5 linked regions of the Ovis aries genome follow. The protein of the gene in region 2 interacts with the protein of the main gene of each other region in a biochemical or structural test. Links are inferred from orthologs where the notes say so. Each region holds a gene or a part of one and is shown on either strand. Other genes may lie near its edges. The genes, in order: APPL1, RAB5A, OCRL, CHML and RBSN.

Region 1 (6,136 bases), on a different chromosome or scaffold from region 2:
CTCTAAAAGGAAGAGTTTATGAAATTTGAATATTCTTTTGAAAATGAGTGCTTATTATTCCTCTGATATAAAACTTACTTATCTTTGTAGTAAACATGAATTAGTTTATCTGTGTGACTTACTTGAAATGTTTGAAAATACCTTTTCTAATTTTAAAAACTTACTTAACCATATGTATGTGTTACTGTATAAGAGGATGCATGGTGAAATTTAAATGTAGTCTCTTCAGTAACTCTGCTCAGTAAAAATCACTGTAAACTACAACCTGTTTTTACACAAATGGGAATAACCCTTTTTACTTAACTATGTATCTTGGCAATTGTGTATACGATTCACTCTAAGTATTTTGTTTGTGTGTGTGTGTTTCTGTTGTTGACCCTCCCACTCCCACACCCTCTTGCCCCAGATAAGTTTCTTTAAGATGGGTTCTGAAAATCTCAATGACCAACTGGAAGAATTCTTAACTAATATTGGAACAAGTGTACAGAAGTAAGTATTTTCTTCCTTAAAACTGAAAATGAAGTTATGAGAATAAGCTAACAGCTAAATACCATAATCTAAAAATAGTTAGCACTTAATTTCAGATGGGCTGTTTTCCCTGCCATGGGAGTGTTTCTTGAGTGGCTTGTGGATGTTTCTTGGTTTTCTCACCATCTCTTCCACAGCATTTGGACTCTGAATTTCATAACAGTGTCAAATCGGATGGTATTTTTATTGATTTGAAACTAGGTTTTGTGTCTGAATATAATAGGCACCTAATAGTAATTATCCATAAGTGAATTATCTTCACAATTATCTGAATTGTAGAGTATGGATGGGAGATTATTAAATAAATCTAGAGAGAGAAAAAGCAGTTCTAATCAGCTTCAAAATCCGAGCAGTCATGTGGTTAAACTGTGATATGGAGAGAGATGAAAATGATTACTGTTTAAAGGCACAGGACAGAGCAGTTTGAAAATTCCTCCAAAGTGAGTCATTCGGTGTGGATTCATTAGCTTTGGAATTTGGTATTGGTTTCAAAATATCTAAAGTTTCAAAACGTAAAGCTGCTTTATAGCATGCTACTGCTGTTCCTTAGGAAAACATACAGAACAAATATACAGATAAATGAGATTGGTGTGGTGTTCTTTGTTCTGGTTGGTGGTAAATAACCTCTTCTCTCTGTTAGTGTTCGCAGGGAAATGGACAGCGATGTAGAGACCATGCAGCAGACAATAGAGGACTTGGAAGTGGCCAGTGACCCCTTATATGTGCCTGACCCGGATCCCACAAAGTTTCCTGTTCATCGAAACCTGACCCGGAAGGCGGGGTACCTTAATGCTAGGAAGTAAGAAAACGATTGTTATTTTCATATATTGTGTATCAGTTAAGGCAATAGCAAGTCAATATAATATATAATTGATAGCTCCAAATTGTTTTTATTTTACTAAATATAGAATCTTTCTACTAATACCACAATTAGTATTTATGTCAACTTTTTGACTGATGAGGTACGTGAGTAATTTTCAAAAGTAAAATTCTATTTAGATTTTTATCAAATGATTTAGAATTATTTTAAACAGGGAAACCAATTAGAGTTTAAATAAATGGCATAACAAGTAAATGTTATGATAATCATTATCATAATTTAAAATATATGTAATCGCACCATCAAGTCAAATGTTAGTTTTTACCTGAAGAAAGGATAAAGCAAGTTAACCCTCAAAGTAAAATAAATTTTGTTTTGAATTTATTCCCTTGAATGTTGGACTGTATTTTATGGAGCATCATTATAATAGCTATAATTTGATCATTTCCAGTCTTGTTTTGGAAATGTATACATGCACACTCACGCAAGGGGGTCAGCATATGTGAATTTATGACTGAAAAACTGATGTTTATGTTTTTTAGGCACCTTCATGCCGTTTTACCTGGCTTGTTATTAAAGAATAAATGTACTTTCTTCATTTAGTAAAACAGGCTTGGTGTCATCTACCTGGGACAGACAGTTTTACTTCACGCAGGGTGGAAACCTGATGAGTCAGGCCCGTGGCGACGTAGCAGGAGGCCTGGCCATGGACATAGACAACTGCTCAGTCATGGCTGTGGACTGTGAAGACAGGCGGTACTGTTTTCAGATCACTTCTTTCGATGGCAAAAAGTTAGTATGTTTCTCTACTATTTAAAAAAAACTGTCATATCTTAAACTACTGAAATGTAGGGTAATTCCTTTGCATTTGGACATTGTATAGATCTTTTAGAATGATTATGTATCAGGATAATTTTCATTTTAATTTTGTAGAAATTAGTTGAATTTTCCTTTTTGACTTGCATAAATAATGTCTTAATATTTTGAGGCTGTCAAAGCAAGTTTATGTGGTAAAGACATGTGATTTCATGTTAAGAGATTGGTCACTGAAAGTCCAGCATGGTGTCGGAAAGGCAGCACAAATTAGTATAAAGAGTTTCAGCATGGGGTCAGAAAGTTTGAATTCTGGATCCACCAGCTACTTTATAGTCTTAGACAAGTTACCTAACCTCTCTAAGCTTCATTTTTCTACTTGTAAAATGAGGGGAGGGAGGGTCTTCATTTCTATTTTATAAATTGATATGAAGACTAGAAATCTAACATATGTAATGTGCCCAGTGTGTAGTAGGTGCTAACGGTAATATTTTTAAATGTTAATCATATATTTCTGATCATATTAGTTATTTAGGCCATTAATATTTATATGCCATGTTAAAAATTTCTATTACCTTTGCATTAAACAAAAATTCCATAAAATAGCTTTAAAAACAAATTTTTGAGAAGCACAGAAAAAATATAAAAGGGAGTATGAAAAAAAGTTATAACCTCACTAACCAGAAGCAACAATTAACTTTTTGGCTATTGCCTTACAGTTTTTATATTTTATTCTAAGTACATTTTTTAAATAGTTAAGAAAATACTGAATGTTTATTTCATAGTCCTTCTGTAAATATGCAATGGATGTCAATTACTGTGTGCCACTTATGACACCAGATGTTGGGAGTCCCTGTGTTCATTTGTCCAAATCACCAAACTGTTAATGTTACTGGATGTATTTACATTTTTATATTTTCAGTTTTCTGCTAATGCTTAACATGATTTTCCATTTCATATTCCCCGTGTGATGTAAAATTAGCAAAAACAATTTTTTTTCCTAACTCTTAAAATATTAACCTCTATAGATGAACCTAGCACCTATAATACAGAGTGAGGTAAGCCAGAAAGTGAAAGACAAATATTGTATATTAATGCACGCATGTGGAATATAGAAAGATGGTACTGGTGAACCTGCAGGGCAGCAATGGCAACGCAACATAGAGAACAGACTTGTGGGCACAGTGGAGGAAGGAGAGGGTGGCATCAATTGCGAGAATAGCGTGGAAACATACATTCAGTTCAGTTCAGTTCAGTTGCTCAGTTGTGTCCGACTCTTTGCAACCCCATGAACTGCAGCACGCCAGGCCTCCCTGTCCATCACCACCTCCTGGAGTTCAGCCAAACCCATGTCCATTGTGTTGGTGATGCCATCCAGCCATCTCATTCTCTGTTGTCCCCTTCTCCTCCTGCCCTCAATCTTTCCCAGCATCAGGATCTTTTCAAATGAGTCAGCTCTTCGCATCAGGTGGCCAAAGTATTGGAGTTTCAGCTTCAACATCAGTCCTTCCAATGAATACCCAGGACTGATCTCCTTTAGGATGGGACTGGTTGGACCTCCTTGCAGTCCAAGGGATTCTCAAGAATCTTCTCCAATACCACAGTTCAAAAGCATCAGTTCTTCGGCACTCAGCTTTCTTTATAGTCCAACTCTCACATCCATACATGACTACTGGAAAAACCATAGCCTTGACTAGATGGACCTTTGTTGGCAAAGTAATGTCTCTGCTTTGAATATGCTGTCTAGGTTGGTCATAACTTTCCTTCCAAGGAGCAAGTGTCTTTTAATTTCATGGCTGCACTCACCATCTGCAGTGATTTTGGAGCCCAGAAAAATAAAGTCAGCCACTGTTTCCCCATCTATTTGCCATGAAGTGATGGGACCAGATGCCATGATCTTAGTTTTCTGAATGCTGAACTTTAAGCCAACTTTTCACTCTCCTCTTTCACTTTCATCAAGAGGCTCTTTAGTTCTTCTTCACTTTCTGCCATAAAGGTGGTGTCATCTGCATATCTGAGGTTATTGATATTTCTCCCGGCAATCTTGATTCTAGCTGGTGCTTCCTCCAGTCCAGCGTTTCTCATGATGTACTCTGCATATAAGTTAAATAACATATACATTACCATATGTAAAATAGATAGCCGGTAGGAATTTGTGACACAGGGAGCTCAACCCAGTGCTCTGTGATAATCTAGAGGGATGGGATGGGGTGGTGGAAGATGGGAGGGAGATACAGGAGGGAGGGGACATATGTATATCTGAGGCTGATTCATGTTGATAAATGGCGGAGGCCAACACAATATTGTAAAGCAGTTATCCTCCAAAAAAAGAGAAGAAAATATAAACCTACATCTCCTTATGTTAGTGATTAATATATTGAAAAGTTTTACTTAAAAATATTCAAGGAAAAATAGTAAATAATGAAGTAAAATTAGTGTTTTCTATTAAGACCACTGATTTATATTTGAAATACATGCGGTGAGTGTCAGAAAGTTAAAATGCATTGTCTTAGTGTCAGTGTCCCTTTTCCATAGCCTGCCTTCTGAAAACCAGCACATTTCTTTTTTGGTACCTCTTGGCAGAGACAGACCAAGTGAAGAGTTGTTAAAATCTAAGTCCTGATACCTCTGGTAGTTAGTCTCCTTCGTTACATGTTTTCTGTTGTGTTTTGTTTTTTGATACTGATTGGTTTTATGTGTATCTTTAAAGGTAAACATTTCTCATTCATGTTAAAAGTACTTTAGAAAAAAGTTGAATGTCAGACTTTTGGGTTTTTTTTTTTTCCAGGTCTTCAATTTTGCAAGCAGAGAGTAAAAAAGACCATGAAGAGGTAAAATTTTATCTATTCATATTTAATTTCTTTATCATCACCTTAAGCTCTTTTTCCGATGATAAGATATATTGATGTGTTCATTTTAGATATTTGGGAAATCATGGTTAATTTTTTCATAAAAGTCAATTGTCCCTCAAGCAACATTCTTAAGTTTCACATGGAATTTTATAAGTGGACCTATAAGTAGAGAGCTTAGAGATCACTGCTTGCTGTCCTTTTAGAAGCTCAGATTCAGAAATAGCCTTGTGACTGCTGCTTTCTGGCAGGCTGTTAGTATCATGAGGCTAGAGTTTAGTTTATTCCCTTCTCTTACCAACCCTCTGAGACAGTATTTGCTGCATTAAGAACATAGTAGCAGCAGACGTAGCATGGCAGTAAGCAACTAAAGTTTAAAGCCTTGGGGAAATGAAAGAAAGAAAAACAGAAATGTGGGAGTGTTTATTCTTCCTCATGACTCTCTTGTTTTTGGCCCCACTTTTACTTGTAGTACACCAAATATGGAAGGTGAGTTACTACTAAGAACTGACAGGTGAAAACCTGTCTTGAGCAATCTTCAGTGAAAATATACTCTTAAGTTGATTCTGAGCCATTTTATCTGCTATTATATAATTGTGTTGGTAGAAGACAATGTTGGAAATTATGTAGAGATCAACTTTTATTTACTTCTTATAGAAAAGAGTAGGTATTAAAACCTGCTTTTGGTCTCTGAGGAATACAGATATACGTCTGCTCTTTGCAGGGTTTTTACCAAACATAAGAAATATTAGGTTAGTTTTGTGAGGCTCCTCAGGCACCAGAATCCTTGAGAGTGAAGCAGAGGATGTGGGGCAATGAGTGTTTTCTGTGTTATTTATAAACCTGAAAGGGAAATATGTAAAATACATTCACAAGGAATATATTTAGCTCTTAACTTTTTTTGCATTGGTATTAATCATGATATCTGAGTCCAGACTGTTTTATTTGGTTGGGATTAGAGGAGGATGTGATATTAAAAAAGATAAATACAGACTATTAAATTATAATTTAATATGATGGCTATATTTTTAATGAAATAAATGTGGGATTTAAAAATAACAAATCTCTTCAGTGTTCTGTTATACCTTCAAGTATTATACATATATATGCTTTTGTATATAGGAAG
Region 2 (6,636 bases):
AAATTTGAAAGAAGTCCCTAATATCAGTTTCTTAAATGAACTTCCAGGATGCAAGGAGTCAATTCTTTTCTTTCTGGAGGTAAAGAAACCTGTAAAAAAAACAAATATGAAGTAATTAAAAATACAAATCAGCAAAACAAAGCAAACCTCACATCATCACTTTAAAATTTTGCCTGCAACACAGTAATACACGACAACTAGAACCTCTATTGGACACTGACTGCCATTTACTTTAATTCACTGCCTTGATTAATAAGCAAAGGTATGAGCTTTGAGCCTAAAGTCATGCTGTAATTTTTAAGCCTCTGTAAACATTCTAAGTCTAACCTTTACTAAAGACTCAATTTCGTGCCAGATGGTTTTAAATACTTAACATAGCCACTCAACAACCCTATAAAGTTGCCTATTCCAATCCTTAAAAAATGAGGAAACAAGCATAGAAAGGTTAGGTGACTTGACTGAGGTCACACAGTTACTGTGACAGAGCTTCAACAGAGCTGATTTTCAACCCATGCAACCTGAAAGGTGACTAGTTCTGGTTCTGGAACTAGATTACTTAGGTTAAAATGGTTTTGAGTAAAATTAAGTCAATTAAGGAAAAAACCTTAGAGCTTAAAACAGTTAAGCTCAATAAAAGTCAGCCATTATTCTTTGAAGGCTCCTTGTAAATGGCACATGCTTTTTATTTAATGGTAACTTTGGAGCAACAAATATTTTAAACAGATCTATGTCTGGTGGCTAAAGGATTTAACACTGTATTCTCATGTCCTCAAATACATCATCCATGGAAGTGTTAACAGCGGTTCTCCGGATGGTGAGTGAGTGAGTGTCCTACTTACTTATACTCTTCTGCAGTTTTGGGGCTCACAATTAAACGTGTCATTATTTTCTATTTAACACACTTACAAAAAACTAGCCTAAAATGCAACTTCTAAGTCTTCTTTTATCATTTAATAATGATAATTCTCAAAGATACTAGCAAACTTTAAAAAAATTATTTTCCAAGCTACTCACAAATCATTAGCTCAGTCAGTAAAGACTTTGCCTGCAGTGCAGAAGACCCTGGAAAAGGAAATGGCAACCCACTCCAGTATCCTTGCCTGGAAAATCTCATGACAGAGGAGCCTGGTGGGCTGTAGTCCATGAGGTCTCAAAGAGTTGGGCACGACTGAGTGACTAACACTAAATAACTCACAAATCAATCATAATAGCTTTCTTCTACTTTTAATCAAAATCTGACCCTGTGCTTAATAACATTAAATATGATGATTCTCCTTCTCAAGTCACTGTTGGATTTCATTTAGGTACCTCGTAAGAAATTTGTCTTGCCCATGAAACGAGTTTATACAAGAATCTCTCTTAACAATCAACTCATTAATAAACATATCTATGAGACCATACATCTAAGACAATAAAATCTCCTCTACTTTATCTAAACAGCAGCACTGAAGACCTCTTATCTTTCAGTAATACATACTGTACCTAAAATATTTACAAATGAAATAATAGATCTGAGTTGCTCCCAAACAATGGGGGTATAAATAAAACAAGATAACTGAAGCTAGTTGATGGGTTCATTATACTATTCTTCCTGCTTCTGCATAAAGAATTTTCTGTGATTAAAAAAATGCTCCAATCTCACATCTATCCTCCCACCACTCCCAAACATACATCTGGGGATCTAATTCGATATAACTATACTAATTTCTGTTGGAGCAAGTGCCTTCATTTCAAACTCTCTACTCCGGAATATCCAATTTTCACAACTGCTGTGAGAAATTAAGAGAATATATACCTAAAATATTTCTGATACAGTGGTCAACACATAGCAGCGATTGAAAATAGGCAATTAAAGTGCCCCTTTGATGAAATAATGACCAAATATCAATAGAATGTCATGTAAACTGAAAATGTACCAACAAATCTTCATATATCACACACAACAGCAACTGAAACACTTCCCAGCTATTACCTACAGAACAGCAAACTGAATTACTCATCAAGGACAACGTGCTCTGAATTCCTATAGTCCTCCCGAAATTTCAGGGAAAGCATCAGATGCTCATTAAAGGAAAAAAAAAAAAAGATTTAACTTTGGTTATAGTTCCCTCCAAGGACCTCAAACAAAAATATTAACTAAATCTAATTATGAATATAGTTAGCATTACATTAAGGTTAAAAGCTATATTTTGTAATATTCATTTGTACTCATTACAAACTTTTGTTTTCCAAAACCAAAGATTTTGCAGAAAATGCATTTTAAATCTTTTGAAAATAACTGCTATTCTGTAGTTAAAGTCCTTCTGGGTGCTCTTTGATCAAAATTGAATTCATAACAGCAGCTAACATTTACTAGGCATTTATTTTATGCCAATCACCATTCCACGAATTAGGCTTACAGCAACCCTAAGAAGCTCTTATGATCCCCATTTTAAATTAAGAATCAAGTTTCTTGAACTGCCCGGAGTTATCGCAGTGGTGTCCATGTGGTTTTTTCCCCCACTAGTTATGTGAAAGGCAACTGATTGGACACTTAGGCTCCACTTCAGCAAAAGACAAAAACCAAGTATGCGAATTATGACGTTCAGAGCTTAAAAAGTCTGAAAGTCTCTAGAGAGTAGCCAGTTTGCAGGGAGGCGAACAGCAGAGCACGTTCAAACGGCTCCACCGTCTGAGGGCCTCGGCGGCCTACCTGGGTCGGGTTGCTTTCAGGCCGCGGTTCACCACCTTCCAGAGCTGAGACAAGAGGCCCTGGACAGCCGGGCTCCCCGGGCCACCGCCTCCCTCCATTACCCGGCTCGGGGAGCCGGGGTGGGCGGAGCTCCCCGAATTCACACCTGCCGGAGGCCCAGGTTCCTCCTCGGGGAACACCTGAGCCACCGGCAGCAGCTCCGACCGGCCAGCAGGCAGGCCCGCCGGCCCGCGCGCACCCCTCCCGCCTCCTCCCCGAACCCGGCCCGACTCCGGCCGCGGACCCCCTACCCGGCTGCCGGGACGGGGCAGCGGCGCCGCGGCCTCCGGGCCGCTCTCGCGGCGCCATCTTGAGAAGGGAACAGGGTGATACCCGCCGCTCCCTCGGCCGGCCCCCAAACCCTGGCCTCCGGGGCCCCTTCAGGGGGCCACCGCGGCCGCCGGGCCGAGACGCCGCGTCCGGCGGCTCTCCGGTCCCGGGCCCCGGCGCGAGCAGGAAGGCCGGGGGGCCCTGTGACGGCGGGGCCCGCGGACCACCGGGGCTCTGACCCGCTTCGCGGGCGGAAGGCCGGCGGGGCTACCTGGGCTCGCCGCGCGTGGAGCTGCGGCGCTGAGGCTCCGGCTGCAGGTTCCAGGCGCAGCCCAGGCAGGGCCTAAAGAGCGGCGGCGGCGGCGTGTCCTCCAGTCGCGCCGCTCCCCTCAGACTGGACGGTGCGGGGATCGCGCCGCGGTGCCGCCCCCGTCGGGCTCCGTCCCCGCCTCTCTCCGCTCCGCCTTCCTCTTTCCTTTCTCTCCTCCTCCGCCGCCGCCGCCGCCCGGCGCTCGAGCTCCCGCTGATTCCTCCTCCTCCTCCCTCCTCCCCTCAGGCCCGCCGCCGGCTCCTCCGCGAACCAAAACACAAACACTCCAGCCCCAGCGCGAGAGCCACTTCCGCCGCCGGGCGCCGGCCTCGCCGCCACGTCGCCGCACGTAGCGAGGCGCGCCCCTCCGTCACTTCCGCCGCCGCCCGCCCGCCCGCTCTGTCCGCGCCCCCGCCCGCTCTCAGAGCCCTCCCTGGCGGGGCGGGGCCGCTGGGTCACGTGACCCCCGCCGCGGGGCGGGTCCCGCCGCAGGCCACCTCCCACCCCCGGCGGCCCTTGCGCGCGCAGCCCCGCCCTCGCGCGCGCCATTGTTGTCTGCTTGGGGCTCTCTCGGGCTGTGGGCCGGGAACGGCGGGGAGGGCTGTTTAGCTGCCCCGCTTTCGGCGGCACCCTGGAGAGCTCGGGCCGACGTAGGGCTGTGACTGTTGGCGCGGTGTCCCCCGTTCCTTACCCTGCAGCACCGACTCTGCTAGGTCGGCAGACTTTTCTGGCAGAGAGAGCCTCCTGACGCGCGTCCTTGGGGGTGGATGGGTGGGTGAAGGCTGGTGAGGGGCATTGACTCCGGGGAGGAGGGTGTGACCCGGAGGTGTCCTTTTAGGCAGGGAGGTCTTCCGTAATAACCTGCTCTCCCGAGAGTTTTACGCGTTTTTGGTGGAGAAGGGCACGTTATGACATAATAGGTAGCTTTTACAGGGAACTTCCTGTCATGGGTTACTGTTTGTACTAAATTCTTCACGGGAATTAATCCATTTTTCTTCCTACGCTAGGAGGCTTCAGCTCTGAGACTAGCGTGGTTGTCCGACTTCCTCTGGTGGAGTATGACCTCCACAGAGTGGTCTCGCTGCTGTCTAGCACGATGACTTGACAGCCTGGAAGTCTTCAGTCATGTTTGTGGAATTCATGCCTGTTTAACTGGTAAAGAATTCGAGGCACGGAGATTGTGTAACTTGTCTAGAATCACGGCGGAGTAGGTGCTGAAATCGTCTTTAAATTGCAGACTGGCACAGAACCTGAGTTCTTAAGCACAGTTCCATTAAAGAACCCAAGACATTCATTAGCTTCCTCTGCAGGAAGTTAGTTAGAGAACTAACATGTTTGCCAGGAAGGAAGGGATAGGGAGTTTGGAATGGGCATGTACACGCTGCTATATTTTAAACGCATAAGCAGCAAGCACCTACTGTGTAGTGCAGAGAGCTCTGCTCAATGTTAGAGGGCAGCCCCGCTGGTAGGGGAGTTTGGAGGAGAATGCGTGTTTACCATTGAGTCCTGTCAGGCTTTTGGAAATGCCAGGGACTGTAACCTGCCAGGCTTCTTTGTCCATGGAATGTTCCAGGCAAGGAGACTGGAGTAGGTTGCCATTTCCTACTCGAGGGCCTCTTTCGGACCCAGGGTTTCTTGCATCTCCTTCATTGGCAGGTGGAGTCTTCTCCACCGTGACGCCTGAGAAGCCACTCTGGGGAGAACGGATACACATATATGTATGGCTGAGTCCCACTTGAACCTATCACAAACATTGTTAATTGGCTGTACTCCAGTACAAAATAAAAAGTTAAAAAAAAAAAAACCAAAAACTTGTTTCTGGGCATCTGAAACCAAACCAACCAAAAATCCTTTTGGAATTTAGTAGAGTGTTAAGTCGATTTTTCCTCAGGATGAGGGTTTGTGTTTTTTTTCCCCCAATTTGCTGTTTATTATTTATAGCTCTGTTGTGAGGACATCAGTATTGACTGTCTGACAGGTGGAATTAAGGACAAATCTTTCTTCAGTGCCACCTGTATCCTGGAATTGGTAGTTTAGGTTCAGGATATGCATGATGTAAGCATTCTATTATAAAATGTGTTGTGCTTGACAGATACAGAACACCCTTATGTATTGATTTATAAGGAAAATAAGATAAAGTATTTTAAAATAAATGTTCAAGTCACTCATGTTCCAAAGTCAGCACCGCTGTATTCATTTTTATGCCGTCCACACGTATCACATTTTTATTTTGTCATTAGTTTGTTCTTGTGAATCAAAATTCAAATGATTTATGTTGAAAAGCCTCACTCCTATCTTCTGACTACTTAGTTCTTTTTCCAGTTCTTTTCCCCAGAGGTAGTGTTAACTGGTTTTGCAAAGTTACTGTTATATTCAACTCTATATATTTTCTCCATTTTATGCAATCTAAAACATAGCAGACTCTGCAATATGCTTTTTATTTTTCTCTTTATTACTGTCCCAGTTATCTATTGTTCAGAAACAAATGACTCCAAAGTTTAGTCATTTAAAACAATTACTGTCTCTTGGGGTAGAGTGGGGGCTTAGGAGATTTTCTGATGTCATAGAGGGGGGTCAGTCCTGGGGCTTGCGTCATCTCAGCATGTCTGGGATCTCAGCTGGGGCTGTCAGCCAGAATACCTGCACATGGCTTGCCTCCTGGTTTTGGTTTCCTCACAGCATGTCGCTGGGTTCAAGCATGAATGTCCCCAAGATACCAGGCAGAGGCTGGGTGGCTTTTTATGACCTACCTCCAGAATTTCACAGAGATAGTATCAGTGATGCTCAAGTCACAGACTTGTGCAGATTTGAGGAAAGAAAGGCAGTGTCGTGTTTTAACAAGAATATGCATGAAATCTTGTGGCCATCTTGGAAAATACGCTGATTTTTTAAATCATTTTATGAAAAGTGTCCTCATTTTTCTTGGCTATATCAGCAGTCTATTGAATGAAACATATCAATAGTTTTACCAGTTCTCGTTTCGGATTTGCACAGTTTCATATTTTGGGGTGTTAGTGCTGCAGTGCTGGATAAAGCACAAATTGGAACCAAGATTGCCGGGAGAAGTATCAGTAACCCAGATAAGCAGGTGACACACCTGTACAGCAGACAGCGAAGAGGAACTGAAGAGCCTCTTGATGAAAATCAAAGAGGAGAGTGAAAAAGTTGGCTTAAAGCTCAACATTTAGAAAACTAAGATCATGGCATGTGGTCCCATCACTTCATGGCAAATAGATGGGGAAACAATGGAAACAGTGACGGACTTTATTTTCTTGGCTCCAAAGTCACTGAGCATGGTGACAGCAGCCATGGAAACAAAAGACAC
Region 3 (6,136 bases), on a different chromosome or scaffold from region 2:
TGGCTACTGGACTGCCATACTGGACAGCAGAGATCTAGAAGGATACACACTGAATTGTCCACAGTGGTTTTCTCTGGAGGGAGGGACTGGCTGGGGAAAGCAGAGATAAGAAATGATGGATTTTTTTCCTTTCACCTTTTATTATATTTATAATAAATATTTCTATTTTATAATAAAAAATAATGAAAACTGATTACAACTGACAGACCCCCTCCACCAATACTCAGATGTCCGCTGATAGAACTAAGCTTTCCTCTGATAGCAAATCTAATTTCTCTGACTCATTGCATCTGCTAGTTGTACCTTCCTCTTCTTTGTGAACCCAATCCCAAAACAGTAATCTCTCACTCTGCACATTTCTATAGTTTCTCATCATGGTTAGTCTCTTCTCAGCTCCGCTACTCAAAGGCTAAAGAAGACTTAACCACTCACTCATGTTTCATGATGTTCAGCTGTGGGAGGGTCTGATTTGGGACCACAAAACTCATTCGTGCGCAGATGTCCTTATAATCTTGATTCCTTCTTTCAAACTCTTCCACGTGGGCAGCCAGGTGGGAATTGACAATGCAAAAGGTAGTGTTGTGAAATACAAACCTCACAGCTACCCCACCTTTGTTTCCCTGTTAGCAAGAGTAATTATTCACAGTTAGTACAAAAGACACAATGAGCACCTGAACTTCATATGGACATGAAATCATAATCAAGCTCAACTCCAGATTAACTCACCATCTTTCCCATGATTCCAGTTCCAACAGTTTCTGTAGCAATATCACGGATATATCGCAACTGATCCTTTCTGGCAAATATCAGGAGCATCATCCCAACAAGGCGGACTAGCTGAACCTTTAAGTTCCAGGAAATTAGAAGAGGTTTGTGTTAATACCACTCTTTGCACATCTCTAACTTCCCACAAGTAATTTTCCACCAAGAAGATATAATCATGCCTCAATTTGAATCTAAATCCTCTAATTTCCCAATGGACCTCATAAACAGGCAACAAAATTTTTCCAGGAAAGCGCTAATCTGGCTCTGACCAGTAAAAGTCTTCAGGGACAACAAGTACCCTCAGCTCTAGATTCATTATTTTAATCACGTTTTAGCCTACCATGAGTAAGCAGTATTTAAAAGCTGAATAATAAAGACAAAGCCTCTATCCCAGCTTGTTCCTTTTGCCTCTCCTTCCTAGTAAATTTCCTAATAAAATGTATAACAATCCTATTGACTTTGTGAACTAGAAATATGTCTGAAATATGTATTAGTCTATATGAGAGGAATAACATCTTCAGCAGTCTTATCACCTACATCAGGTGTAAGAAGGGGCAGATGAAAATTACTCAGACAGATGACTCCTTTTGAAGGGCTTGATATGGTAGCTGAATAATTAAAATAACTCTTTTGGTAGCCTCTACTATGTGCCTTCTAAAGACCAACAAATTGGGTCACCTTGCTAAAGTCAACTCTACTCTTGACTTACAACCAAGTTTTAAACTCATTTAAATTCCACAACACTCCTGTTCTTGCTCCAATTCTAAAGCTTACCCAATGCACCCACATGCTTCAAACTGCTTTTCTGTAAAGCATCCAGTTCTGACCGTGTAAGCAAACAATTTCAATCTTAAATTCTTGTTGCAAAAAATCACTTATATGTCATTTGAGTTAATTATTGCTATCAGCACAGTAAAATTCTTCCTTTCTCTTAAAACTTAGCCAAGCAATGAAACTATAGAATTGAGAAGCTTAGGGAATTTTTTTTCTAGGAAATAGGAATGAAAAGCATTAGTCTGCCCTATCCGGTATTACACATGGGGGAGAATTCAATTAATCCATTCTTTTGGAACAAGCTATAAACAGAGTAACTTCCAGTGAGTGCTATTTAGTCATATACTAAAAAAGATAATTAAATGCAGCTTACTTTCTTATACTTGGCTTTGGAATGCAAACTCCTCTCTACCGCCAAGGACCACTCTTGTTCTTTCACAGATTCAAAGTAGAAAAAGGCTTCTGTGCTCAAGTCCAGCTCTTGGAATCTGAGAAAACAAGAGGATGTGAGATCTACATCCCATAATTATCTCTGACTACCTCCTGTCCCATTTTCTGAGACATTAGGTGAAAAAAGGAATGTGGGAGAGAGGAATTTTAGAGAACTGCTCTACTGCTCAAGTGATCAGTAAGGACAAGTAGTTTTCTTTTCAAAAGACTCCCCCACAAGTATATGCATAGGTCAAGCAAAACACACAAAAAACTTCCATAAGGGATAACAGAGCTTTGCTTATATATCCTAGGAATAGTCACTATTAGAATTAACCTCAGATCTCAGTTTCTATGAAGAATATAGTTTTCTATGGGTTTTGAGAGGACTAGATGCTTCCTCACACCATTTTAGATATCTGTTCCTCTATGATCTCACAAATTTGACCCACAAGTTAGCTCTCATATATAGTCTACAGTAGGTTTTTACAAACAGTGGGGAAAAAAGGGCAAAATGTCACATAAAGTAACACCAAACACATAGCCAAAATGAAATTCCAGATATGTATTTTACCCAATGCAGTAGATATCAGGAGGATTCAGATCACAGTTCAGCCAAGGTTCTAACCCACTATCTGGAGACTGGCCATTCACGTTCCACGTTCCAACAAAAAATCTAATACATAATACCAAAAAATAATTTAGAAACAAAGGTAAAGTATGAACTAAAGAAAGTTCTCTCATTACTTCTATACAAGTGTATATTCACAATAAGCCAGTGCAATTTCTCAAGCTGCTTTGCCACACATACCAAAACCCCTTCTTGCCTGTAGAATGCAAAGGCAGTGGGCTTATTCCCTCTAACTTTCACAGCAGGTAAACCTACAGAAAGGAATCAAGTTTCTATTTAAAAAACACAAATTTAACGGCTCTACCACATTTCCTTCCTCTTACATTCCATCCAAACATATTTGAAGGGAGAGCTTCTGGATGGGAAAGAGGTATCTTCACTCTGTAAGGATGTCTAATATGGATAACTGTTCCATAAGGAACCATAGTTAAATCCAAAAACTCACTTCTTGAAGGATTAGAAGGACATCTGTGGAGGAAATTCTGTTGAGACAGATATAGTATTAAGGGGGAAAGCAGAAGGGAAAACTCATGACTGTCTTAACTGTTTACATACAAATATAAGCATCCTGGGGAATCTGAAGAACTGGAGGCTTCAGCACAGGGATATAGTCATGACTGAATTAGAATAAATGAGGCATAATGGGATAGCAGATGGGACTGGAATCTTGGACTAAAAGAGTACATGCTGTTCGCAAATAACAAAGAAAAACGTTGCTGCTCTGCACATCGAGATACACGGCACAATACACCATTCCACACGCCACACACAGTGAATCCAAGAAAGAGGATATCAACAAGTAAAAATGAAATGAAAAATATAATAGAGGAAAGAATTCAAGATAGGCCTCCCAATCAAGAGGATTGGGTGAAACTTCGTTTAGTTAACTTACCAAAGTAGGAAAATGAAAATTAAGGTCTAGCGGTAACAGTGGACTTAATTTGCCAGTACTGGCAAAAAGAAATTCAGCAGGTCAGATAGATAAACACACCTGCTTATGGAATGTGCTAGGAGACAATTCTCTAGTACATGTGAGCTTGATTTCGTTCTCTAAGAGTGGATAGTATTAGTAGATGTGGTATTATTAGTAATTAGAAAATCCAAGGGAAATTGTAGCATTTGCATTATCGCGGATATGTAGGTTACTGACCGCAAAAAGACAAGCGCTTGAATCAACTCACCATTCTTTTTTATTATGCTTTAATTCTGAAATAAGCTAATTACACTAATATCTTAAATACCAAAAGAATATTTTTTCTATACCAACTAAGGTAACTAATGTTTCACCTCCTTAAGTAGAAGAGAGACTAACCTGAAAGTCTGAATGTTGACATATTCTTTTTCTCGCTTTGCCAGGATGTGTTTGATGAGACCCTCCCGCTGTCCAGACTGGGTGTTTGGTACAAAGAGCTTCCGCATGGTGTTGGTCACTTTGGGGGGTTCCTTGTTAGAAGCTTCTTTTTCACGTGGAAGCCTAGCAAATAAATGAGCAATTCAGAAGTGAAACTGCCTTCACCAGGGAAGTCTCACACATGGGAAATCTGTTTCAACACAGGACTTACATTCTATTCACTGAAGGGGGTGGGGGTGGAGGTTCCCGGTGAACCCCTATAGGCTGATTCTGCAAATTGATTTTCTTGTCCAAATTCATAGATGAAAAATTATCCTCAAATCCAAGAAGCCCTGAAGGATGCAGAACCCAGAGTCAAAGCCGGGGAAGATAACATCCAACTTGTTCAGGATAGATAGGACTTTGCTTTGGTCAGCGGTTTTGGTCTGACCCCTATTTGCTCAGCAGCGTTACCAAACAGAAAGGTATACGAACAGTGATAACGTAGCTAGGGGAAGAAGCACATTTGTCCCTGAACCACTGACATATTAACTAGAATGATAAACATAACTAGTAAGTTACATTAACTTGGAATGTGACTAAAAGAGCGAGTATTTATATACTTTTAGCACAATGCCTGGTTGATAATTAGGGATTATATCACTATCTCATTTAATCGTCACAAAGACCCCCCATGAGATAGGTGCTATTAAAAAATCTTCCTAAGTTACAGAAAAAGAAACAGAAGCTCAGAGATGTCAAAGTAACTTGACCAAGGTCATATAACTAGGAAGTCAGACAGCTGTGATTCAAACCCAGGCAGTCTGCCCCTGGAGTCTGCATTTTTTACCCATCTGCTAAGCTGGCTCCAAAAGAGCTAATGTGCCACAGAAAGTAACAGGACTGAACATGAGGTGGTGAGTACAGATTCCAAAACCACTCCACAGGAGAAGGTATCTGACATTGACATTACCCCACACTATCTTATCTGCCCAGGTAAAATCTACTGACTCTGCAATCATCATAGCAACCAGGGGAAAAAAAAGAATCTTTTCAGTACCTGAAAAAACAGAAGAGTTGTCCTTAGTGTCTAATTTCTGGTACCAGCTGGATGACTCCTTTTGGTCTGGAACAAGAAGCTGTGACTGAGCTGGAGAGATAGGGGTCATAGAGTGAAACAACCATTCCACTGAATGGAACTTACCATAACCAAAAGAGGAGCCTGGCAGGCTACAGTCCATGGGGTTGCAACAGTCAGGCACGACTTAGCAACTAAACCACCACCACCACCAAAGGCCATTCACTTAGCACCATTCCTGAACACAAAGGAAGAGACTAAGAAAAGGAGGGCAGCTCTGGGACCATCTGGGGCTGGAGGAGGATTACTGTCTGCAGTAAGCTGGCCATGGCAAGAAACAGAAGATTCTGGAAACTGACTCAGGGTCCTTAAAGCTGAATAGACTTACCCTAACCTATCCCTGGGGTCATTCCTGAACAACAAAAAAAATCACCTATCAAGGCTCCATGGGCAAGGTACTCTGCTAACAGTCATCTGTCTCTGTATGCATGTCCCATACAAATAGAAAGAAAACTGCTGAGGTTTGAGTCACCTTCCTGAGCAGCAAGGACTTCTGAGACGAACTTCACACAGTGATCCTCATCAGGGATTTCAAAGCGTCGCTCTCTGGTCCAGTCCCCTTGAATCCGAATTTTGCAGCCACCTAAAAAGAATAGAAATCCATATACATATAATGTTTTCTTGGGATCATATTTTTAACTTACCAATTTAATAGAAGAAGATCCAGATAGCAAACATTCCAGACCTCTAATGTATGAAGCATACCTATAAGATCAAGGGATTCGTTGTGGTGGTGGTATTGGGGGTGATGCAGAGAAAAATTTAATGTAGGCTAATGAACTGTGTAAATGAGCAGCCCAATATAGTGACATGATGCATAATAAAATCATAGTTTCCTACATTCTGATATGTTGCTCATATGTCACTGTAGGAACCTTCAAATTCTAGCAAAAGATCAATTCCCCAACCACCTCCCTCACAGCTCCTAGCTGGAAATTCCTACCACTTCAAATCCAAATCACATAATATGAATCTCTGAAGTGTGAAGGGAAAAACGGAAATAGGATGGTTTGTTCCTTAGGTACAGACTGTACTCAGGCAACTGAATTTATAAGCTAAGTAAAAAAGA
Region 4 (6,136 bases), on a different chromosome or scaffold from region 2:
CTTCAGGCATTCTGAAATATCTTTTCCTGGAGCAGTTTATTTTTTCTTTAGCCTGAATTACTTAGAAGTTCTTTTGTGCTCTGCATAAGTCTTCTGAAGTATTGAACCAGAACTAATCTTTCCCCCTAGATTTTCTTTGGACCAAACCTCCCAAGAATGAGCTTTGCAACTACTAACTGAACTCTCTGACTCTTTCCAATGTATAAGACTGGGATGACATCACTGCCTCATTGACTACAAGGGTCAACCAGGAGAATTAAACTGCAAGGTGAATTCTAAACATCACCTTTACAAATAAAAGATCATGCAAAACTATTCTTCCAACAATTACATATTTTATCACATTGGCACTTGCATTAGTTGCTATTGCTGCCACCATATCTATATGTTTCTATTATAAACAAAAGACCCACATAATTTCCTGTGTTTCACTACTCAGAGGTGGTAGCAACTGTAATAGCTGTAAAAATAATTTAAATATTCCTTAGATATCACCGTTCTGTAGACAATAATAAAATTTGAAGATAATCAGCAGATATAATATCATCTTCCTTTAAGCACCATTGCTAACACGGAACTCTCACATATATACCCAGTACTAAAATAAAGCTAATTCTGGGTCATGGAGCCCATTCTGAAACAAAACAAGTCCAATACCCAATACATCAGTCATTGATAGGTTAACAAAGGCATCCAATGACTAAAAGTCACAAAGAGAATTATAGACATCTGCATGACATTCATCATATAACCACATCTAATTACTCCTATAGGAAACTGTCCTTTAAATGAGAATATTCTGATGCCAGGACAAAGGCCCAAAGTAGCATTTCCAGTTTGTTTTTTTTTCTAATTTTGAAGGTGCTTCCCTGAACTTTCTAGGTTTTTACTTCCCTCAGAGGATTCTAGTTTGGCCATTACTATATTACTGGTTCCAAGAGGCTCTGATGGCTTTTCATCACCATCAAAGAAAATGTCTTCCGGATTTGGAGGTGGGGGGCAGAATTCTTCACTTGGAAAGATCTCGTGGAAGAGTGTTTCAGCTTGCTTGACGGCATGCTCACTTCCGAGTCCACAGTCAGGCCCAGTGCAGACATAAACGTTGGGAGGCAAGCCATTATATGAGCTTCGGCTGACTCCCGAGGAATCTCTCATGTTAAAATAAAGAGCCCACAAGAGTCCTGGCTTTGGAAGTTCTTCCTTGTCTACTTCTGTCTCAGAATACGGGGTGAATAATTTCTTCACCACTGATTCTAAGTCTTCTCTTGCTGTTTTGGAAGATGAACAGGTCAGATGTACCAGGTAGGTGTCTTTCATGCATGTCATGGTTGAAGAACATAATTCAATGATTCGGACAGCATGTGCTCCTGGTTCCACTGGAGGTACTATCAAAATGGAAATCTGCTGATCTGAATCTGTCTTTAGGACAGACTGATCTGTAATGAGCACTGCCCTGGATATCTGCTTATACTGCACACTGGAACATGTTTCCTCAGACAGGTAACTATCCTCCACAATGAAATATTTAGCATTTATCCTTTGACCAAGGTGATCTATAATTGCTTTACATCTTCCAGATTCTCTGTCAACTACAAGGCATTGTACTTTATGGCGAAGACAATATATTCCACCGAAAACTGCACACATCCTGCAGAAACACTGGGGAATTTCGCCTTGGCCATATAAGGGAAATAAAAAGGGAGTGTTGCCAAACCGTCCAAGACACTGAAGAAAGTTTTTTGTTGCTTTAAGGCCATCTACTGTAGTGCAAGATGATTCTGACATCATGGCAATCGAGTGAAGTATAAAATGTTGGAGGCTGGGGGTTAATTTTTTGGTTTTCAAGTACTCTGAAAATGAGCATTGTGTGAAAGCTTGGTATTCCTCAGGATGTTGTTCATAATCTAAACAAAATGTAAGAAATTTCATTAGCATCCTCTTTTCAACCATAGTGAGCTCTTTGCTATTAAAGACATCTGCTCTGGAACAAGGCACCTGCTCTACTTTTCCTTCTCGAAATGCAAGAATCCTAGTGACATTTTTAAATTCAGCGTAACGACTAACATTTGATTTGATTAACAGATCAATTAACAGTCCTTGAGAATAAAGCAACTTCGATGACAGATCAATATTAAACCTCCTGCCTTCTTTAACTATTTGAGAGTAAGCAATCCTCTTTCTCTTTGGTGGCACACTGTTGTTTTCCAATACAGGTTTGATTTCATCTTTAGTGCCATCTGAAAGTGTGTGTTTATAAGTATCATACCCACAATATTCTTCTTTCACAGAAGTTTCTGCCGTATCAGTTATTTCTTCATTGTTTTTTGGATTGTTGTCTACATTGTTGTCTTGTGTAGGCACTTCATAGCTAGTAATGTGTGATGAGTGAGTTTCCTCAGACAAGCTTGTAGAATCCAGAGGTTTTATGAGGGTACTAGATGCTACACAAGGATTTTTCTGCAGAGCATCAAGCTCTTCAATATTGCCATCCATGCCCTGACTGGCATAACAAAACACTTCGGCGTGTTGAATGGTTTCATCCTTCTTGCAAAGAGGGATGGCTTCTTCTGTTTCATGGATCATGTCTTGCCATGCAGCAGGGCTTTCTTCCACAGTGTCACTGTTTTGCCGATGTTCCTTCAACCAGGACAGCAATCCTGGAAAGCTGAAACTAGCCCAGTTTCCCCCATAGTAACTTCTTGAATCGAGATGCAGAACCCTTTGACCACTTCTGGAACATGCAGCGGCAAGGATGGATTCAGGCAGACCTGTCCCCATCACTATCACATCAAATTCTGTTGGGAGACTGTTGGCCATCCTGGAAAAGTATCTGGTGACAACTTCTAATGAAGAAAATGTGTATGAATCTGGGCTGAGGGTTCAGAGAAGGTGTGACTATGCTGTAATAAAATCTCTCCTTGTGATATTCCAGATCATCCCAGAAATACTGAAGTTGCAGGTCCCAGGTATTCAACTGCTACCCTTTTTTAGTATTATTTTCTTCTAGGTCAGTAGCATAAAACCATGATAAAGTACATCTAATCATATCTGAGAATAATAAAACAAGTATACGGTGTTCATTTTTGTGTTTCATCTTAGCAGTGCATGTCAAAATGTATCACATATGGATTTGTGACTGGAATTCTGCTCTGAAAGGAGAAAATTCAAGAAAGAATACAATTATTAACAACACTAAGAGAATAATAATTTCAAGCATCAACAATTATAATCCTATGGAACACAACTTGATATCAGGACATAAGATTTTACTAAAGCAAGTCATTACATGCTTTCTCACATGTTTTCTAACTTCTTGAAAATAAGCAAAAGATATAGACTCCTCCAAGTCAGGCAATTCAACAATGAAGAATGGATATAACAACATCCCACAAAAATAAAGAATTAGTGGAGTACAATTCTATAACTTTTGGTTTTAAGTATTTGAATAAATGGTACACAACTAGGAGATTAAATTGCAAGTAACAGGTGGCTCCACTGTGTTTATGGAAACATACTATATACTATGTGCATGCTGCTGTGATTATGCATATTTCTGTGGCCCATACAGTCTGTAGATGCTTCTAAGACAAATGATGAATAAAAGACTTTCTCATGCCCCACCCACCTTTAGGCTCTTATGGGAACAACATGAGACTATTTCTATTGAATGGGCCACTGCTATAATCAGAAAAGGATTAATTCAATAAAATAGCATATTGAAATGTTTAGGTATATGAAAGAATCAGTCTACTGAAAATGCATTTGTAAGAAATCCTTATATAAATGTGCATATGCACAGGTTTGGTTTTTAGGTGTAAGTTAAAAAGGAAAAGTCCTGGGTCCATATGTTAAAACACTGCAGTATAAAATAACATCTACTTCACTGGAAGGACTGATGCTGAAGCTGGAGCTCCAATACTTTGGCCACCTGATACAAAGAGCTGACTCATTGGGAAAGATCTTGATGCTGGGGAAGATTGAGGGCAGGAAGAGAAGGGGACAACAAGAGGATGAGACGGTTGGATGGCATCATTGACTTAATGGACATGAGTTTGAGCAAACTCTGGGAAATAGAGAAGGACAGGGAAGCCTGGCATGCTGCAGTCCATGGGGTCACAAGGAGTTGGACACAACTGAGTGACTGAAGTACAGCTTCTAAAAACCTATGTCAACATAGGGTGACATGCATTTTATGAGACCCTAGCTCTGAGACTGAATCTCTTCATCTCAAGATGAAGGTCTAAACATCCTCTGCCAAGATTAGCATGTTGTTTGTTGTTCTTATTTTTGAAGGGGTAGGAGGTGGTAGTAAAGAAAGTCTCTCCTGTTAATCTGTAGCATCATTCTGTTGTATTCCACGTGCAGAACACCTGCATGGTGGTAGGTGTTGCCAGAGGTGCAATAGCCAAAGGGCTGAAAGGCATACTCACCTGGAAGTTATTAGATTGAAGTATTACACAAACCACATGCTTGATGGCCTTCCTATCATTGCGTGGTAAGAGTAAGTTTCTTGAGCTCTGATTTTTCCTACTGCTACACTTACTGAAACCTAGATCAGTGCATACTGGGCCTGCCTAGGCTGAGATGACTAGATGGGTATCCTGGATACCCATATAACAAGCCATTCAACTGGAACTTGAAGTGACTAATTCACTGAATTGATAGTTCAGTTTAAATGAGATGGCAATCTTCATAGTCTTATCTGGTCAAAGCCTCTGCCTAAAGAATATTAGGGATTCCACTTGCTTTCAGCATTCCCTAAGAAACCAGGAATTGAGCACAGAATGAAGTGGTCGCCTGGCCTACTCATATATATATGTGAATTACTTATTCTGCTTTCTTCCTGCAGAGTGTGGAGAGGAAGACAGAACCCAGAACCCATGAGGGTATGTGAAGAAGTGTAACCATAGTATGTACCTATTTTTGGCTTAGAAGGGGATATAGCAGAGGGTTGGGAGTAAGAGAAAGGATATAAGCCATAAGTGCTGAAACCAGCCACCTCCTAACCTACAGGTATCAACGGAATTCTCATAATACAAGGCAAGGCAGGACAACCTTAAAGAACATTTAGCTCAATTACCCTGTAACCCCAGGTAAGAGAACTGATGACTGGAGAGATTAAGTGACTGGGAGAGTCCACATGATGGGTTAGCCACAGGATTAAGTGGGACCCATGCTCACACCATCAGGCCAGTGGTCTTTCCATTTGACAGAGCAGCCTCTCTAGAAGCCTCTGAAGTAAGCAGTCACTTTTGATATTTTAGAATGTCCTGCCCTTCACTACTCCAGGGTTAGTTAGTTCTTGCTTAGGGCTAGCAATGAGGAAAGCACCCTCCCTCTCTTTAACTCTTACCTAGAAGCATAATGTTTGGAATTTACTCCAGAATCCGCCAGTCAATGCAGGAGACACAGGTTCCATCCCTGGGTTGAGAAGATCCCCTGGGGAAAAATGTGGCAACCCACTCCAGTATTCTTGCCTGGGAAATCCCATAGACAGAGAAGCCTGGTGGGCTATAGTCCACGGGGTCACAATAGAGTCAAACACGACTTAGCAATTAAACAACAAAAATGTTTTCAGCTCTATCATAATCCACTATTGACCTGTCTCCCAGGGCTTGAACAAGACTCAGAACGTTCTGTCCCAGAGTTTCCACCTCTAACTTAAAGGCAGGTGAAAGCCACTGTTGAAAGCACTAACTAAATGCCCAGAAAAAGAGTAGTGGTCAGGCAAAATACTGTGTGGTGAACATTTTTAGCAGTCTTAGAAAATCCTTTCAGATTGGGGTGGGAATGGAGCAGGGATGATGAGGGAGGAAGAGGATGGAAGAGAAAAGGAGATACAGTAGAGTGAGGCCACAAGATAGAAGGGATGAGGAAGAAAACAAATGCTGGTACTAAGAAAAAACTCAACACACCCCTGTTTCCAAACTCCCAAGCACTGAGTTAGAATAGAAACTGAATTTCCCAGCACAGAAAATGCACTTCTTGAAAATAAGAACTTTAAGTGCTTATTGGGGAAGGGGTAGGTAGTAGTAGAATATTAGAATCAGAGACAAATAAAATTATGATTTCTATGACATTTTCTTGTGTCCCTCAACATATAAAAAAGGAATCATAACAAATATAATATGCGGGT
Region 5 (5,573 bases), on a different chromosome or scaffold from region 2:
GTTTGACCACTGCTATATATATATGTTTTTTTTTGGCTGTACTGTGTGGCTTGTGGGATTTTATTTCTCTAACCAGGGACCAAAACCAGGCCTACGGCAGTGAAAGTGGTCAAGTCTTAACCACTGAACCACCAGGGAATTCCCAGCTACTGCTTTTTAACTGTGGATTGGCTGTTGGGGTTAGATCAGCCCTTTGCAGTATAGGAAGTACTGTGATTCAGAAAACAGATGCGGAACCCTTGTCCATCCGTACGTGCGAGACTAGCTACATAGGTTGCAGGATCAGAAGCAAAATGAAAATGCAGGTCCCCTGATCAAAGTTTAGAATTGTAAGGGACTTTCCTGGTGGCCCAGCGGTTAGGAATCTGCCTTCCGATGTGGGTTCAATCCCTGATCAGGGAACTGAGATTCCACACACCACGGGGCAGCTAAGCCTGTGTGCTCCACTACTGAGCCCTCGCCCCCAACTGAAGAGAAGTCTGCGTGCCGCACCCGAGTGCCCGCAGCAGCAACCAGGACCTGATGCAGCCAAATACAGAAATAAATACAAAAAAGGAGGCTTGTAAGGCAGTGACAGCAGAGTGCTGAACTAAGCACAGGGCTCCTCGCTGCACCGGTCACGGGCCCTCGGTGGCCGGGTGTTTGTCGTTTGCCCCGTGCTTGTCTGAGGCCTCCAGTACAGCCACCGGGTAAGAGACGGGCTTCACCCGCAAAGACGTTTCAGGGGAGCCTGGAGCGCATTTCTCCTCATACCTTGCCGGCACGCAAGCCTGGCGGCTGGGGACTCTCCACCCGTGTTTCTGAGGCTGGCCGTGCCTCTTACAGCGCCGTGTTTGTTCTCATGCAGTAAGAAGATCTTAACCTTAGACATGAAGCAGGACCCGCCGCCACATCCGAACACTCTGCGGCTGCAGAGGATGATCAGATACTCGGCCACACTGTTTGTGCAGGTAAAGCCGCCGCTCTCCACCACTCAGGAGGGCGGATGGGGCCCATGGCTTGCTTGGCACTAAGTTCGCACACTTACTGCTCTTTAGGGTTACATGTGTGTCAGCCACATCTAGAGAAAAATCTGCATGTCAAAGGAAAGTGACCTAGACCCTGCTCTGGGTGTGCTCACCACCCTTTATGTAACTGTTCCCCTGTCCCTGGGCGTCTGATAGACTCCCATTTCTCTGCTGCTGTGAGGAGTGCCTGGTGGACCTGCTTGCACAGAGTATTTCCTCCTTGCGATAGGCTCCTGGGGGACTCTCCCTGGGCCCTTGGTCTGGAGGAGACAGGTGATTGTTCAAGGGCTCACTCCACCTGGGAGGCTGCATCTGAGTCGTCTCAACCTCAGAAAGCCCTTGTGAGAGTCAGTCGCCTGTGGGGCTCCTGACGGAGCTCTGCGTATCCTGTTCGATTAGTTGCCTGACACCATCATGCAGAGTGACGCCCTCCCTGCTTTTGATGGATGACTGTGTTCCATAGTCGTTGGTGGGTGCCCGCTGCGGCCCAGGCAGTGTTTTAGGTGCTGGGTATCCTGATAGACCTTCCTGTTCTCGTAGAGCTTATATTATAGAGAGGGGATAGATGAGAAAGAGCTGAATATATGGCTTAAGAGGGTGGTAAGTGCTGGGAAGAAACGAAAGGAGGGCATGGGGGTGGGGCTCAGATGGTGGCTTACAGATGTGCTAATAGACAGGAAAGGCAGGAAAAGGCCTCACTGAGACGGCAAGTAACCGGGATGTCTGGTGTTGATCATCTCCTAATGAAAAGGCTGGCCCCTCCATAAGGAAGCTGGCATGGACCTGATTTCCAGGTTAGGTTCTTCCCTGCTCTGCTCGTTAGGGTGACTGTCTTAGACTGATGTGACGTAGCTTCAGCGGGCTCTCACTAGGGAACTTCAGATTCATTTTTTTTTTATCCTGAAAGGGGTTTAAGTATAAAATTGTCCATGACCCCCTACAGGAAAAGTTGCTTGGTTTGATGTCACTGCCGACCAAAGAGCAGTTTGAGGAACTGAAACAGAAAAGGAAGCAGGAGATGGAGCTGAAGAGGATCCTGGAGAGGCAGGTGAGCGAGGCAGGGGACGCTGGCTCCACGAGCACAGAGGCCTCCAAGGCTCCCAGGAGGTCTGGTGAGGTTGCTGTTAAGTCAGAACCTCTCACTCGCTCTGGTTTGTGTTTTCCTTCTGTTCTGGCCTCTTGCATTTTAGAAATCAAAGTAACTGTTTTTCTCCCCAGGTCCTATTTTTCTTTCGGAGGTTCTGCTGAGTTTCTCCTGTCTAGAATACCATGGAGACTGGCAGTCCTCCCCCCAGTACAGGCTGCAGACGACCCAGACACCAGGGAGTTCTTAGAACACTTTGGAACATGCAGTATTAAACAGAGAATAATATGTGTATTTAAGATTGTGTGAGATTCCAGTGTAGATGAGTGGTAATAGATCTCAGAGGTTTAAGGTAAGTGCTTAGCCAGTGAATGTGAGGTGGAGGAAAGCTTACCCCTTAACTTACTGGTTTGTTATTTTAATTTTGAAAAATCATGGCTTGATTTTAGCAGCTGAATACCACAGTCCCGAGGTGGGGGACTGGGGTCTCACTGGAATGGGGATGGCATGGCCGCAGTGGTGGCCGGCAGTGTGGCTGTTGGCCTGGTGACCGTGTTTCTTTTTGGCTTTGGTATCTTCCCAGGCTGCCCTGGAATCCCAGCGGAGGCTTGAGGAGAGGCGGAGTGACCTGGCAGCCCGCGCGACCAACGGGGAGGTGGCGCCCGCTCGCATGGGTCCTGCTCCGCTGAGGAAGGCTGAGGGCTGGCTCCCGCTGGCGGAAGGCCAGAGGCAGAGCGAGGACGCGGACCCCCTCCTGCAGCAGATCCGCAACATCACGTCCTTCATCCGGCAGGCCAAGGCTGCGGGCCGGGCGGACGAGGTGCGCACGCTGCAGGAGAACCTGCGCCAGCTGCAGGACGAGTACGACCAGCAGCAGACCGAGAAGGCCATCGCGCTGTCCCGCAGGCAGGCCGAGGAGGAGGGCCTGCAGCGCGAGCAGCTGCAGGTGCTGCGGGAGCGCGAGCGCGAGCGCGAGCAGGGCCAGGCGGCCTCTCTGCACACGCGGACTCGGTCCCTGGACTTCCGGGAGATCAGGCCTTTTCAGCTGGAGCCGGGCCGAGAGCCGCGCACCCACCTCGCTCACGCTTTGGATCTGGGCTCTTCCCCAGCTCAGAGCGGCACTGCCACCAAGACCTCTCCACCCAGCTCGGCTCCCGAGCCCTTCCGAGGGTGGTCTGGGCCCCCAGCCCTGGGCCAGGAGTTCCTGCCCCAGAGCACTGCGTCGCAGTGCAGTGAGGCGCCTTCCCTGAATCCCTTCGATGAGGAAGAAGACCTCGCCAACCCCTCAGCCGAGGGCACGGCCAGCCCTCCTGCTCCAGAGCCTTCCCTCAGCCTGCCAGCCCGCGTGCTCAGAGAGTACAACCCTTTTGAGGAAGAGGAGGAAGAGGAGGCTGTGGCGGGGAATCCCTTCGCTAAGCCGGATGGCCCCGCCCCCAACCCCTTCGAGGAGGAAGATGAGCCCCCCCCGCGGACACCCGCATCGCCCCCTGTCCCTGGCAACCCCTTCGAGGAGGCTCCCTGCACCAACCCCTTCGAGGAGGAGAGCAACGGCCAGGAGGGCGCCGAGCCCATCGAGGAGGAGCTGCTGCTCCAGCAGATCGACAACATCAAGGCGTACATCTTCGATGCCAAGCAGTGCGGCCGCCTGGACGAGGTGGAGGTGCTGACCGAGAACCTGCGGGAGCTGAGGCGCACCCTGGCTAAACAGAAGCGGGGCACCGACTGACCCGGCCGGGCGGGGGCCTGCGGAGCCGGCGGGCGGGCTGGGGGCGCGGCATGGAGGGGGAAGGCGGAGTTTAAGCTGGCTGCAGGTTAGAGTGGAGGAATCGGCTATTCTGTGCTGTGCACTTGGAGCTTTTCCCGTGACAGCTGAATAGTAAAATGGGAACGAGAACAGGAAGAACCAGCATGCATTTGCTGCTTTTCCTGAGTTTTTTTTAATAGTTGTGTTCTCCCTGTAGAAGGGACGTGAAATCTTCACTGCCGAGGTGTCACAGGTGCGGTTCCGCTGGGCCCTGGGCAGAAATGGCTCCCGTGTGCACCTGTGCCCGCGTTCACTCCTGCCTAGCGTCGATCAGCTTGCAGTGTTAGAGGGCAGCCTTCTATAGCGCCCTTCCTTTAGCCAAGACACACAGCATAGAGCCCTTGACATCTTACTCGGTTCTTAGGCTGTCCCATTAGACTATGTTCCTTTGGCCTGAGACTTCCACTACCCTCCTGGGCACGTCCTATGCGATGGCAGGGGAAGGTCTCACTGTGGAGGCAATAGTTTAGACCCAGGAAAGCCCCTCTTAAAAGGGGTGATGGGGGCGAGGTTTCCTCACGATCTCTTGCCCTCTTCCTTTTAGTTCTTATTTCTCTCTTTCAGGAAGTTAATCTCCCAGTGCAGGGTTATCACTGTGAGTCTGTTCATAAGCTTTTTAGAGAACAGCAGTTTTTAACTTTTTGGCTGATAGAAGTAGTATACTTTGGGAGCAGAGTCTGTCCAACTGTTGCTCTGTGGAAGTGAATGACCACCGGGACAACTGTCTGTCCCCAGAGAAAGCGTCGTCTAGAGCTTCGGCACAGTTACTCTGAGCTGGGCTTTTTCTAAGGGCCCAGGCTATAGTTTAGGAGTTGGTGGTCAGGAACCCTCGTGGAACCTTGCCAGAAGAGCTGAAGTCCCCTGAGTCAGAAGGTCAATGACAGTAACTTCCAAGGCTTGTCAATGAGCCTTTTTGTCTTGCAGGTCATCTTGTGCTGACCGTGGGCACTGGTGAGATACTCTCTCACCTACGTTTAGTAGTATTAAGAAATTAAATGGGGAATTCCCTGGCGGTCCAGTGGTTAAGACTCTGAGCTTTCATTGCTGAGGGCATGGGTTTAATCCCTGGTCAGGGAATTAAGATCCTGCAAGGGGTGTGGTGTGGCCAAAAAAAATAAATAAAAGTAAAATGTTGTAGGAGGCACAACCCAGGATCATTGTGGTAGAACCGCAGTACTTGAACTCTTCACCAGTTAAGGGCAAAAAGGGAAATTGTGAATTTCGCTTTGGTGCTTAGGTTTACAGGGACATGACCCTTAATTAACATCTGACATCAGATACCCAAGTGTGCTCGGCTCTGGGTAGAGTTGCTGCAGTTTTGCTTGTTAACTAATGAACAATAACTGACCACTAGTCACTTTATACCCATAACTAACTCTGGCTCTTACGGTCACTGGTTACTGGTGTAAGGGCTGAAATTTATTTTGTCTCATTCTGGGAAGACCCCTGTTGATCTTGGGAATGTCTGAAAAATTACTGTGGTGTAACAGTAATCTGTATTTGTGTTGACACTATTCACATTTCTTTAGCCCCTGCTGGCTCTTTGGGCTGAATGAAGAGGTCCTGTACAGAAGCGTGGCAGTGGGGAGTGAGTGGGTGGGCGGGGTGTGTGTGGAGGACCTTTTTGAGTTTGGGTCCTGTTCATAAAGCAGTGCGAGTGGGTTACTAAGGTCAGCCA

What was found.
Region 1: the proteins of RAB5A (region 2) and APPL1 form a complex in vitro, tested with the Homo sapiens proteins (2 studies listed by BioGRID and IntAct, with this or other methods). The link is inferred for Ovis aries from reciprocal best matches to the Homo sapiens genes RAB5A and APPL1.
Region 3: the proteins of RAB5A (region 2) and OCRL form a complex in vitro, tested with the Homo sapiens proteins (2 studies listed by BioGRID and IntAct, with this or other methods). The link is inferred for Ovis aries from reciprocal best matches to the Homo sapiens genes RAB5A and OCRL.
Region 4: the proteins of RAB5A (region 2) and CHML form a complex in vitro, tested with the Homo sapiens proteins (2 studies listed by BioGRID). The link is inferred for Ovis aries from reciprocal best matches to the Homo sapiens genes RAB5A and CHML.
Region 5: the proteins of RAB5A (region 2) and RBSN form a complex in vitro, tested with the Homo sapiens proteins (3 studies listed by BioGRID, with this or other methods). The link is inferred for Ovis aries from reciprocal best matches to the Homo sapiens genes RAB5A and RBSN.

The regions. Positions count from the first base shown.
Region 1 is NC_056072.1:43,953,023-43,959,158, reverse strand, and holds part of APPL1 (DCC-interacting protein 13-alpha), read left to right. Parts: intron 1-406; coding exon 407-489; intron 490-1,168; coding exon 1,169-1,327; intron 1,328-1,951; coding exon 1,952-2,140; intron 2,141-3,232; exon of another isoform or gene 3,233-4,254; intron 4,255-4,949; coding exon 4,950-4,992; intron 4,993-6,136. UniProt on the Homo sapiens protein: Multifunctional adapter protein that binds to various membrane receptors, nuclear factors and signaling proteins to regulate many processes, such as cell proliferation, immune response, endosomal trafficking and cell metabolism.
Region 2 is NC_056054.1:278,206,284-278,212,919, reverse strand, and holds the start of RAB5A (ras-related protein Rab-5A), read right to left. Parts: upstream 4,202-6,636; 5' UTR 4,003-4,201; exon of another isoform or gene 3,832-4,002; intron 3,654-3,831; exon of another isoform or gene 3,273-3,653; intron 90-3,272; 5' UTR 1-89. UniProt on the Homo sapiens protein: The small GTPases Rab are key regulators of intracellular membrane trafficking, from the formation of transport vesicles to their fusion with membranes.
Region 3 is NC_056080.1:113,503,938-113,510,073, reverse strand, and holds part of OCRL (inositol polyphosphate 5-phosphatase OCRL), read right to left. Parts: intron 5,651-6,136; coding exon 5,540-5,650; intron 5,080-5,539; coding exon 4,990-5,079; intron 4,283-4,989; coding exon 4,162-4,282; intron 4,074-4,161; coding exon 3,912-4,073; intron 2,645-3,911; coding exon 2,543-2,644; intron 2,028-2,542; coding exon 1,913-2,027; intron 844-1,912; coding exon 727-843; intron 621-726; coding exon 433-620; intron 1-432. UniProt on the Homo sapiens protein: Catalyzes the hydrolysis of the 5-position phosphate of phosphatidylinositol 4,5-bisphosphate (PtdIns(4,5)P2) and phosphatidylinositol-3,4,5-bisphosphate (PtdIns(3,4,5)P3), with the greatest catalytic activity towards PtdIns(4,5)P2.
Region 4 is NC_056065.1:34,430,675-34,436,810, reverse strand, and holds part of CHML (rab proteins geranylgeranyltransferase component A 2), read right to left. Parts: intron 5,440-6,136; 5' UTR 5,354-5,439; intron 3,150-5,353; 5' UTR 2,818-3,149; coding exon 850-2,817; 3' UTR 1-849. UniProt on the Homo sapiens protein: Substrate-binding subunit (component A) of the Rab geranylgeranyltransferase (GGTase) complex. Binds unprenylated Rab proteins and presents the substrate peptide to the catalytic component B.
Region 5 is NC_056072.1:57,118,277-57,123,849, forward strand, and holds part of RBSN (rabenosyn-5), read left to right. Parts: intron 1-847; coding exon 848-950; intron 951-1,950; coding exon 1,951-2,055; intron 2,056-2,674; coding exon 2,675-3,817; 3' UTR 3,818-5,573. UniProt on the Homo sapiens protein: Rab4/Rab5 effector protein acting in early endocytic membrane fusion and membrane trafficking of recycling endosomes. Required for endosome fusion either homotypically or with clathrin coated vesicles.